Arabidopsis thaliana: one gene and its partners. The protein of the gene in region 3 purifies or fractionates together with the protein of the main gene of each other region. This does not show direct contact. Each region holds a gene or a part of one and is shown on either strand. Other genes may lie near its edges.

Region 1 (3,754 bases), on a different chromosome or scaffold from region 3:
ATGATGAATGTTTTGCTGAGTTCTACGAAAGATACATAGCTGGAGGTGGAAGAGTGTCTTACATGGAGAAGCATCTCACCAACTCCTCTGAGACTTTCACAGCTCTTAAATCACTAGATGGAGAGTATGGGCTGGTGATTGTAGGAAGAGGAGGGGGAAGAGCGAGCAGTGGGTTAACCACCGGCCTCAACGACTGGCAGCAATGTCCAGAGCTTGGTCCCATAGGTGACGTTCTTTCAGGATCAGATTTCTCACACAACACATCAATGTTAATTATTCAGCAGCAGCGTACTCGGGGTCAGCTAGAAGGGCTTCATGATGACTTCACTATACTGTGAATATCTGTACAAATGCACTTTACTTAGTAGCTTGGGAAGAGTAGTAGCTTCACCATCACAACTCTTAAAGAGACTTTGTACAATAGTTCAAACATTAAGCGGTTTATGTAGATAGAATGGTAAAAAGAAGAGGTAATCTAAGCATTACTTCATAGCATCCTGAAATGGTGTTGAAACATAGAGTTAAAAGAAGTTACAGGCCGATTTGTTTTTGATTTATACAAAGCATAACTAGGGAAAATTTCCCAAGCTCATTATTAGTCTTGATTGGTGCTTAGCAAAAGACAATGTAAAACGTTTTCCCCGATGTGCTGATGGAGAACTCCAAGTTCCTTAAAACTGATTCGAAAACTTGGCCACCTCTGCCTGAAAACACAGAAGGGTATACCATAAGACCAGGTACATCAAACAACATCAATAGCATTTGATATTCGTCTAGCTTATTAACCACATAATCAGATAAGTATATCCGAAGAGAGAAACTTATGTACCTCAAACTGGTTCTTCAAGTAGTCGAGCTCCTTGTCCAAGTCATTGATGGCCTGGTTGTATGCTTGCATTGGGGAAGACTGGCTTGTTGTGTGAATCTACATACAGAAACCACTTTCACAATTAAACAACAACATACAAGATCTTTCTATAAGTCCTTAAGCAACCAGTAATCCCAGAGGAAACTGTTAACACTAGAAGCTTAAACCAAGAAATATTCACGGTTTCCAAACAACCATACACTACTTTTAAGTTCCTAAACCAATCTTTTGGATCCTAAGGTCAATCAATGAACTGAAAAAAACGCAGAGGATAGCATTGTTCTTTCCAATTCAAAGCAACAGGCTCTACAGTAGAAGCAACTGAAAAACTTGGAACTTACCCTCACTATGATTTTGTACTTAAGAGGATGAGGAAGTTGGTATCCAGCAAACAAGACATTCTCGTCGCGATGAAGTTGCCTAAAACAAAAATTTCAGAACAGAGCTGACAAAAATTAGGGCTTTCTTCTTTCTGAGAAAAGAGTTGCAAAATCAACAAAAAGACGTACATGCGGACAATGTTTCCAATCGTATGGTCTTCTCTCTCAACCGTGAAGGAAGCAGCATTGATGATCTTCGTATCCCTATCATAAGAAACCCTAGAACATAGAAATCGAGAGGGTTTAGCACATGTAAGAGGACTATCGAGTATGATTTCGAGTGATAGAAACTTCAATTACTTCTTGGTGCCTTCAGGGACGACGAATCGCTCATATCGTTCGGGAGCATTCATGGCTTAATCGGAGATTTCAAGCTTCGCTCTCTTTTTCGCCGCAGAGAGACAGTCAAGAGTTCTTCAGTTTCTTTCTGGCAAACAAAATATAATACGACGTCGTTTTTCATAAAAGAAAAAAGATCGAATCTCCACGTGTTATATTATTATTGGTGTATACAGTTTGGGTCGGATCGGGCCGATAAAACATAATATTTCCGTTTAAGGACCTCTAGGTTTATATTATTTACACAATAAAGGACGAGTGATTTAATTCAGAAACCTAACAAAAAATTCAGGAAAAAAAGAAAAGAAGTCAGATCCCTAAAAATCGAACCCGAAAGCGTAAAACTTGAAAACCGACTATGGCCTTTCACGTAGCTTGTCCAATTACATGGTATGTTTTTTTTTCTTTCTTTTGGCGCCTCCTTTACTCGTTGGCTTGTTTGTTTTTACTAATCGAATTGTTCTAATTTGGGGGTTTTCTTCTTTCTTTCGTTCTTTCTCCGCAGCCGGAAAATTTGCTTCTGCGTTTTGGGGTTTTCTCGGAATCTTCATGGTAATGAAGTCAAGGATGTGTATCTCAAAGAGATCCATTCTCTTCAGGAGTTCGTGCGAAACCCCTGGGATGCTGAGGTTTCCAAGGACGGTACCGTTCAGATCCATGTGCCTAAGCTTGCTGTTTTCGATACTGGTCCTCGCATTGCGGCTAGAAATGTTGGTGTTGGGAGTGATTCGGCGATGGAGGTTGTTGCTGCATCATCGAATTTGGTACCAGCTAAACGCACCTTGGTGTTGCAGAAGAAGGCTGTGGAAGTTTATGCTGCGAATGATTGTTCTGGCGACTTAGAGGTTCGAATTCTTACTTGCGAAACTTGTTTTTGTGGTTAGGGGTTACTGCTATGTCAATTGAATTGAACTTGTTTATAGGAATCTGTCTTTGTGAGAAAACGTGTTTTCAGTGATGTTGATTATCTGTATCTCGTGTATGTGTTTTGGTGTTGTCCTGTCTTTTCGGGTTCTGTAATCTATGATTTATATGTAAACTACTTGTGATTTTTTGGATGATTATGAAGTCTATTCTCGTCAAGACACTAATTCAATGTTATGTCTTTCTCTATGTAGGTTTCAGTCAAAGACCTCAATGAAGAAGATCATGATCATCACAGTGCAAGCATAACATGTCACATGTGCTATTTGGTTGAAGTTGGGAAGAGTGAGAGAGCCAAGATGCTTTCTTGCAAATGTTGTGGGAAGAAGTATCATAGAAACTGCGTGAAGTCTTGGGCCCAACATAGAGGTATTGTTTCATAGGAATCTATTGTTTATGACTTATGAGTCTTTCTGCCTAGATTCTTATACCGGTTTTTGCTAGCAGATCTTTTTAATTGGAGCTCTTGGGCGTGCCCATCTTGCCGAATCTGTGAGGTATGTTCGGACACAACTTTGTGCTCAATGATTATTCTTGCTCTTTACATGCTGGGCTAGGTATGACTGCTGCTTGATTATTTGTATTCTTTTGATCATTTTTCCTTTAGGGCTGCGGGACTTTAGGGGATCCAAAAAAGTTTATGTTCTGCAAAAGATGTGATGATGCATATCATTGTGATTGCCAACATCCTCGGCACAAGGTATAGTATTTATTGCGTCTGTATAAGGTTCTTATCTTATCTTTTGCAAATTGGTTTATTTTAATCTCTGAATATTACAGAATGTTAGTTCTGGACCCTATTTGTGTCCTAAGCACACCAAATGTTACAGTTGTGAGTCTACAGTCCCTGGGAATGGCCAGAGCTTACGGTATTTAACTTTTTGCCTTGTGATACTTGAAATTTATTCATGTAAAGTGCACTATCTCTTATTATTCCTTCTAAACTTTGCAGGTGGTTTTTGGGGCATACTTGTTGTGATGCTTGTGGAAGGTTGTTTGTTAAGGGGAATTATTGTCCTGTATGTTTGAAGGTATATTTACATATTCTCCTCCTCGGTGATAGGAAAACGTGCGCTCTGTTTCCAAGCATCATATTTAGATATTCTTGGCCATAATTAATAGAGTTATGTATTTTGGAGTTGTTACCCTATACTATCCAGACATCTGTATTGCAAAAGCAGTTATTTGCAGAATTTTCTTACATTCTTTGAATTGACAAATTATTTTGATTTCATCACGTAGG
Region 2 (3,685 bases), on a different chromosome or scaffold from region 3:
AAAAGAGAATATCTTTTCAAAAAATGGGTAGAGAAATGTCACTTTCCAACTTGAGAAATTAGGACATTGCTTATTTTTGCCAGCATTGACAAATCAACCTTGCTATTTTTTTTGTTTTTTTTTTATCATACGAAATTTGATTTATTTGACTGCGTCTATGTAAATATTTGTTAATGTTTTAGAATGACGAGAAACATGTCTAATTTGGCATATTTGTGTTTTACGTGTAACAAAACTTGTGCAATTTAGATAAGCTCCTAAACAGTGTCATTGAATCAAGTATAATTCCACTCATGAATTGGTTACTGATTTTTTGACTTTATGAACTATGATGGACCAAGTTGGCTATTAGCTAACGTAGTTTTATCATATTTGCTTACAAAAGAAAAAACTTTATTTGAAGATATTGTCATCACTTAACAAGAGCAGCCGTATAATTCGATACGATGACGAAGTAAACACAGCATTATTAAAACAATTTGGTTTAGAAGATTAGATTTATCAACTTTTTATAATATCACACGTTATAGCAAAGTTATAGCAGCCGGCGGCTAGACTCCACGTATACAAATTTTCAACACTATCATGGTTTATGGACGAATTTTCAGATCGGCCCCGCATAAAACGACAAATTTATAATTAGACCCACATAAAAACCAAAATGATCATAAAAGACCCTGAAACAATTCAAGAAACCCGAGAACAGTCTCATAGTATTCATATTTTTACACAGAAAACTCCAAATTGAATTGTATAAAACTCATAAAGCGGAACACAAATACACGTTACATTTGAAAAATGTAGTCTTCTATCAATCTATTCTCTCCAACGGTGACTACAGTTCGGGTTGCAGCAAACGAAAAACAGAGTCATTCCTTCTTCGCCTCTAGCCGTGGCCTGAAAATTCGATGACACACACGAGCTATATCAAACCGAAATAGCCATAAGCACATTAAAAAGCAAGAGAAAGAAATCTCTTTTGATCTTTAAGTTAGATCAGAGAAAAACGAAAGAATGTTTCTTTACTCCTTGATTGATGACGAATTAAAGATTAAGATATAAGATAATGATTCACCTGGAAGAAGACAGCTTCACCGTGTTGACACTTGGCGCATCGCACAGCCTTGGTACGTGGAAGAGTTGGGTCGGAAGCAACGTCAGATAGGATCTGAGTTTGTTCACTTACAGAGTGATGAACCTCGTTTCTGTAAACACAATTGTTATCTGCTGCTTCCTGCAAAGCCAAATAAAAGAATATAAATTTCAAGACCTTCTATCAACAGGACGATAAATAGCTAACAGTAACTCAGTAAGTTTATAACTAATTCGGTTAGCAAGTCCGGGCATTAAGCTAAAGATCCCATACAGAGATTCATCTAGAATGGTTTTCAGTAGCTAACAAAGGCATAATGCTTTGTAATAACAAAACATAACACAAACAGTAGAAACAAAAAAAAACTCAGATTCGGTAACACCAATGGATATTGTTGAAACTCAAATGGTTTTAGAAGTTAAGTTGCAGAAACCCTCTAAACGGTTTTTAAAAGGTCTTGCGTTTGTTCAGAAGTTCTCAAAGAACTCTTTATACTGATAAGCACTACTATCTTAACCAATCAGATTCATGATATGAGAGACAAGGAAAATGATCTAAACTCATTAAATTATCATTCCTTGGTTTACTTCAAGTTCAGACATTCGACCTTTAACCGTATAAGCGATTACAAAGAGTAAAACATCAGAGCTTAAATAAATATCAACACAAATCATATACAAGTGAACAACTAAAGTCTATTGGTTTCAGCCCTAGCTTTGTTTCAACACCACATTGTTCCATTAACACTAAGGAAACCTAATTTTATAAAAGAAAGCATAGTAAACAAAGTTTACCTGGTGATCACAATTACGGCACGCATAGAGGAGGATTGATTGCTCCTTGTCTTCCTTGGGATATAGAATGTTATTACTGAACATTTCAAAAAAAAACAAAATCAAAGGTTCATAAGCTGCAAAAGTGGAGAAAAGTTGGAGCTTTAATCCAATAGAAAACATAAGCAAACCATCCAAAACTAAAATTCCGACAATTAGAGACTTAAGAGAACTGGGTACAATATATAATTCAATATGAGCTAAGAAATGAAAACCCAAATTTCAATTTCAGAAGACTAGTATAAAAGAGCAGAGAACAGATTCGTTTTGACCCCCAAAATAAAAAAAACGAAGAGATTCGTATTTACCATTCGCGACAAAATTTCATAGTACTCATCTTCGCAGAATCTTTAGATAACGAGCTTTTGAATGCTTCTTTGATTTCACAATCAGTCTCTTCGTATCTTTGGCGGGATTTGTTCACTCGGACATGAGAGAGAAGAGGTCAAGCTCTAGTAAAGACTAAAGACTGCGTAGTGGCAATCGGATGTAATTTCATGAACTTTCTCGGGCATTTAGACAATAAATGCGTAAAGCCCATGGGCCGGCCCATATCAGAATTTAACTTGTGGGGTAGAAAAAAATACAAATAAAGAAATACGAAGAGGACAATACGAAATAAATTTGACCCTTTCTTCATTGAAGACTAGTGTACTTTTTCTTACATTAACAACCACATGCATATCCCCATGCACCTTTATATCATTGTGAAAATTATTCGATATTCATTATATAAGTTCTGTTCTATTAAAAATATGAAAGAAATTAAGCACATTATATACTACTAACTTCTGTCAGATTCCAACTGCTGAATTGGTCTGTCTTTTAACTACTCCTGACTCTATAGTGTATACCGACACATCTCTCTAGCACTTGCACTAGCACTAGCAATAGTAACAACATGGTTTATTTGTGTGTTTCCTCTTCATTCATTACAATATCATTACTACTCTTTTGTTCCTTTTTATTACAACTTACTAATAATAGCCATTAGCCAGCCACCTTATGCAATCTTATCCCTTATCACGTATATAGTTTAGTCCAAAACGTTTTGTTTTGCTCAAATAATAATTCATGCATAAAAAACAACAAAAAACACACAATTATACATGCTGATCATAAATTGTATTATGAGAATTTGTTAATCATTTGGTATACTAACATTGCAATTTTACTTGAATATTTGCCAATCTACTTCTTTTATATATACATACATTTATTGACGTACGTATGATTAATTTGACGAGTACATAATATGTAATTGGGTTGTTGAAGTGCACATGCAGTCATGCAGTCACACATACATATATACGTGTTATGTATGTGTATATAGTTGAATTGTTTCTATAAATATGGACACACATACACTAGCTTTCTAATATAGTACCAACTCCATTGAATGTTAAAACTCAGAAGAAAGTGGAGTGATCATATAACGACAATGAAGAATCTCTTTAACTTGTTCCTTATGTTTTTCTTTGCAATGCCAATTCTTTCACTCTCCGAGAATCCAACCAATTTCAGCGAGAGTTGCGAAGACGGGAGTGGAGAAACCGGTTCAAGCTTTGGCATAGGGTTCGATTTGGTTCTTGATTTTGGTTTATACCGGAATAGCTGCCCCGAAGCAGAGTCTATCGTCTACTCGTGGGTGGAAACCACGGTGTTAGAGGATCCAAGAATGGCTGCTTCTCTTCTCCGTCTTCATTTCCACGACTGTTTTGTCAATGCAAGTCACATCTCATCTTAAGTTTGTTTTAAT
Region 3 (3,754 bases):
CTTGTAAATAGACCTTTGCCAAATTTGTTCATTCTAGGTTGTGTTTTGAACTGTTTTGAACTGTTTCTCAGTATTTCCTGGAGAAGAATGTTGAAGCTAGAGCAAGGGAGCTGGAGAGGGAAGCAGAATTGGAAGAAAAAGCTCCAAAAGTGAAAGCAAAGTCAAAGATGTCAAAGGCTGAGAGAGAAGCACGGAAGAAGCAAAAGATGAAAGCGTTTCAAGCTTCCAAAAAGAAGTCAAAGTCCAGCAAAAATGCCAAGAGATGGAATTAAAGCTTCACAGTTCACACATAGCTGCTTTAGGTGTAGTATGTATATAGTGTCATCCCTTACTTGATTTAGTGAAAAAGAGATGGTATATTTCATTAAAAGCTTGGATCATCCGTTGTAAATTACATTCATTTAACATGAAGGTATCATTCCAGAAATTCTAGGCATTAAAGCTTTATAATTTCAGACGTGGCGAATTAACTCCAGATCAGCTAGAAGGCAAGTAAAGCATCCTGCTAAATGTTCAGAATCTTAGATCTTGAGAATCTTCTGCACTACTCGAATCTCTTGACAAGTGAGAGATCATTGAGCATCTTCTCAATAGCTTCATCATCATGAGCTCTTCCTTTTGTCTACACAAAAGAGAAGCTTACATCATCTCAAAAGTCCACTTACATAACAATACAATTTGTCCTTTTGAGGTTATCTTATTATCTCCACTGAATAGAAAAAGTAGAATCTTTATTTACCTTAAGAGAAGGAACCATTGCCACTGCTTCTTCAACAGTTTCAGGACAGAGATTGCCAAGAACACATAGCTGTTCAATAATGAACAATGCAATGTTTTAAGTCTTCTACCGAAACGACTTAATTGATAAACAAAAATCCAATCTCAAGAGATTTAACATTGTACCTCAAACTCAGTGAGTTGATGTCTGCTTAGTATTCTGCAAAAGTTGAGTTAAGGAATAGCATATTCTCACAAAACTATAGAATTAAACCAGTGACTGTAAAATCTCACTCATCAAGAAGGAAGCATGTCAAAGCAACGATTACTTAAAAACTTTGAATCAAACTAATTCAGAAAAAGGATACTCTCGAACTTGTCTAACAGCATCTGGATTCTTGTAGCGGCTGAATCGCTTCACATATTGCAAGGACTTCTCAAACACTCTGCAAGGAGCAAACATAACTTCTTCAACAATATTCAACATTGATTCACTAACCTAGAAGTAACATATAAAACTGACTAAATTCTTCAATTCATGATGGCTAATATACAATGAATCTCTATGAAACACAATTATACTTACTGAGAAACTTGATTCATAGGATCCTCTGAGATTTGCTGAAGCTGTTCAAACTTGTGCTCAAGAATCAAAGAGACTTCACAGTTCATTAAGCACTTTGCCTTCAAAAACTCTTTTGTCAAAGAGAATAAAACCCATCAATTTCGATGATAAATCTCAAATAATTAAGGGATTTTCGATACAGTTAAGCTCAATTAAATCGTATTGAATTAAGATCAATTCGATGAGGCAAAGAAACCCTAATTTTGAGGTACACAGCGGGGGATATGGCGAAGAGAATAGAGAAGTACCATCTCCGATCTTGAGTTCGGCGGCGTTCTCTTCTTCTTCTCCGGACATGGTGATTACCAAGGAGCGAAATCGAACCCTAAAGTTTTTTGGTTCTGCCTCTTTTTTTTTTTTTTCCGTCTTAACAACGAAAGTGATGAATATGAGACAAAACAAAAGCTTTGACCGGTTATATATAAAAAAAAAGAAGCAAACTCTATAATTAAAAAAGGAAAATCCAAGGAGGTTAATTAGATTTTTTTTGGGGAAGAGAGGTTAATTAGATAAATGTTACTATGTTAGTAATAGAGAAAAATTGAAATAAACCGAATAATAATCATCAAGTTTGAATAGGCAATGATTTTGATAAAGTTGGTATAAATTTTTGATTTAATAGCAAAAAAAGATCAAAATTGTTTACTACAATCATATATTCTGCAAGAAATTGAATATCATCATAACAGGATTAATTAGAAATATATTTATAATTGATGATAAATAGAGAAGAACAACAAAATTTATCATAATATAATTTGATTAAAAAAAACCCAAGTTATTTTATGATTTAACATAAATTGAGTAGTAACATAGAATTTGGAAAAATATTTGAAAAGCACAAACTGAATAACATGTGATATTAAGAACAAAACAAAATCTTCTAAAACCCACGACAAATTCTTTTCTTAATGGGTATACTACGCCTTTCTGCTTCTTCCCGACCAATCTTGCAACGAGGACAATCGCAATGCCCCTCTCGAATTTCACCTTCTTCAATCCCATCATCATTCTCTGCTTCACTCCTTGTTCTTTTTCTTGCGACTGTTTCCGGATTTTCGTTACCTTGCAGTTCTTGGATCTCTGTTTTCATAAGTGCGTTGAACATTTGAGAAAGAACCACGTCTCCTTGAAACAGATTTTGAAGAGACTTTATGAGTTCATCTCCTTGTATATGCCGGGACCTAAATTGTTTCATCAACCCCATGTATTCCTTGAGTTTCGCTTCACTTAGTCTTTCTTTGATGAACTCCGCTATATACAAAAACCAATGCTTACATACGGCTTCACTCTCAATCTTTGTTGTCTTCATCGTTTGGATACAACACTTTGTTTTTTTTCTTCTTCTTTGTCTTACAATTATGATTCGAGTGTATTTATAAGGAACTGAGTTGTTTACAATCCGATTTAGTTTGGGATTCTAAATTCTAACTGATCAAGCTTATACTTACCAACTTAAAAAAAAAAAAAAAAAAAACTTATCAAGTTTTTTTCACATGATTAAGATAATTATCACACGAATCATGTATTATTTAGAAAAAAAGAATACTTAGATTATGTTTGGAGTGTTGACAAATAAAAGAAGATAATGTTTGGAAGATTACAGGAAAATAATGTGAGATTTGATCTGTGTTTTACTTTCAGACGTTAATATCCATCCGCTTAGACCTGCCATTACCATTGCTGGTTTCCTCTACACTGGAAAGAGAGAATCTCGGAATAGCGTAATTGTAACGGTCAGGTGGTTGCTGCGGATAGAGTGTAGGAGACTGCATGAGATTGTGTTGCGGTAATGTGTTATATTTGTAAGCATCTCCTTCCCTTAGGCTGCAAAATTCAAAAGACCAAAACCCGATAAAGAAAAGAAATCCGATTTTTTTTAGGATGATAAATATATATACCTTGTTCTTTTATAGAACTGATCTTCATCACTTGTGCCCTCATCTAACCGCTGGGAAGGTGCATGGGAAAGAGACCATGCTGAAGAAGGCGACGGTAGTTCGTCTGAGAAATATCTTCTTCTTATCAACTGAAAACGAAAAACGTTCATTAGGTTGAAGAGAAAGAGAGAGAGGGAGAGAGCTATTGTAAAACATGGCAAGGTCAGAAATGACACCAACCATATGGAAAATTTTGGTCAGAGCTTCTTTGTCATATCTAGCTTCCTTGGCAGCCTGTGCATAATTTTACCAAAATTATATGACATACCGCATAACACTAAATTCAAATAAAGCAAGTAATTTAGTCTGTGGTTACCATTATGAGACCAACATTGCTAGGGAAGCTCTCAGAGAGAGGAAGTTCATCACTATGGGGAAGCAGACCCTGCTTCTCAACCCAATGACGAGCTGCATCAACAAGATTGCCACTGCTTCCATTTGTTCCTCCTTTGGCAGCAATATCAGCTTTGTT

What was found.
Region 1: the proteins of NRPB4 (region 3) and NRPB11 fractionate together in Arabidopsis thaliana (co-fractionation; one large-scale study listed by BioGRID). This does not show direct contact.
Region 2: the proteins of NRPB4 (region 3) and NRPB9B fractionate together in Arabidopsis thaliana (co-fractionation; one large-scale study listed by BioGRID). This does not show direct contact.

Annotation. Positions count from the first base shown.
Region 1 is NC_003074.8:19,317,398-19,321,151, forward strand, and holds NRPB11 (DNA-directed RNA polymerase, RBP11-like protein), read right to left. Parts: upstream 1,727-3,754; 5' UTR 1,602-1,726; coding exon 1,549-1,601; intron 1,468-1,548; coding exon 1,378-1,467; intron 1,289-1,377; coding exon 1,210-1,288; intron 1,104-1,209; coding exon 1,014-1,103; intron 926-1,013; coding exon 830-925; intron 705-829; coding exon 672-704; 3' UTR 452-671; downstream 1-451. Other genes in the region: chx28 (cation/hydrogen exchanger 28), read left to right, coding at 1-338; AT3G52100 (RING/FYVE/PHD-type zinc finger family protein), read left to right, coding at 1,946-1,977, 2,093-2,432, 2,511-2,564, 2,706-2,880, 2,959-3,008, 3,119-3,211, 3,292-3,380, 3,464-3,542 and 1 more.
Region 2 is NC_003075.7:9,201,713-9,205,397, forward strand, and holds NRPB9B (RNA polymerases M/15 Kd subunit), read right to left. Parts: upstream 2,104-3,685; 5' UTR 2,050-2,103; coding exon 1,888-2,049; intron 1,235-1,887; coding exon 1,076-1,234; intron 898-1,075; coding exon 817-897; 3' UTR 640-816; downstream 1-639. Other genes in the region: AT4G16270 (peroxidase superfamily protein), read left to right, coding at 3,368-3,652. UniProt on the Arabidopsis thaliana protein: DNA-dependent RNA polymerase catalyzes the transcription of DNA into RNA using the four ribonucleoside triphosphates as substrates. Component of RNA polymerase II which synthesizes mRNA precursors and many functional non-coding RNAs.
Region 3 is NC_003076.8:3,094,161-3,097,914, reverse strand, and holds NRPB4 (RNA polymerase II, Rpb4, core protein), read right to left. Parts: upstream 1,733-3,754; 5' UTR 1,640-1,732; coding exon 1,591-1,639; intron 1,413-1,590; coding exon 1,304-1,412; intron 1,164-1,303; coding exon 1,086-1,163; intron 938-1,085; coding exon 904-937; intron 809-903; coding exon 740-808; intron 623-739; coding exon 545-622; 3' UTR 273-544; downstream 1-272. Other genes in the region: ABCF2 (ABC transporter family protein), read left to right, coding at 72-272; AT5G09910 (Ras-related small GTP-binding family protein), read right to left, coding at 2,983-3,169, 3,244-3,371, 3,463-3,516, 3,599-3,754. UniProt on the Arabidopsis thaliana protein: DNA-dependent RNA polymerase catalyzes the transcription of DNA into RNA using the four ribonucleoside triphosphates as substrates. Second largest component of RNA polymerase II which synthesizes mRNA precursors and many functional non-coding RNAs.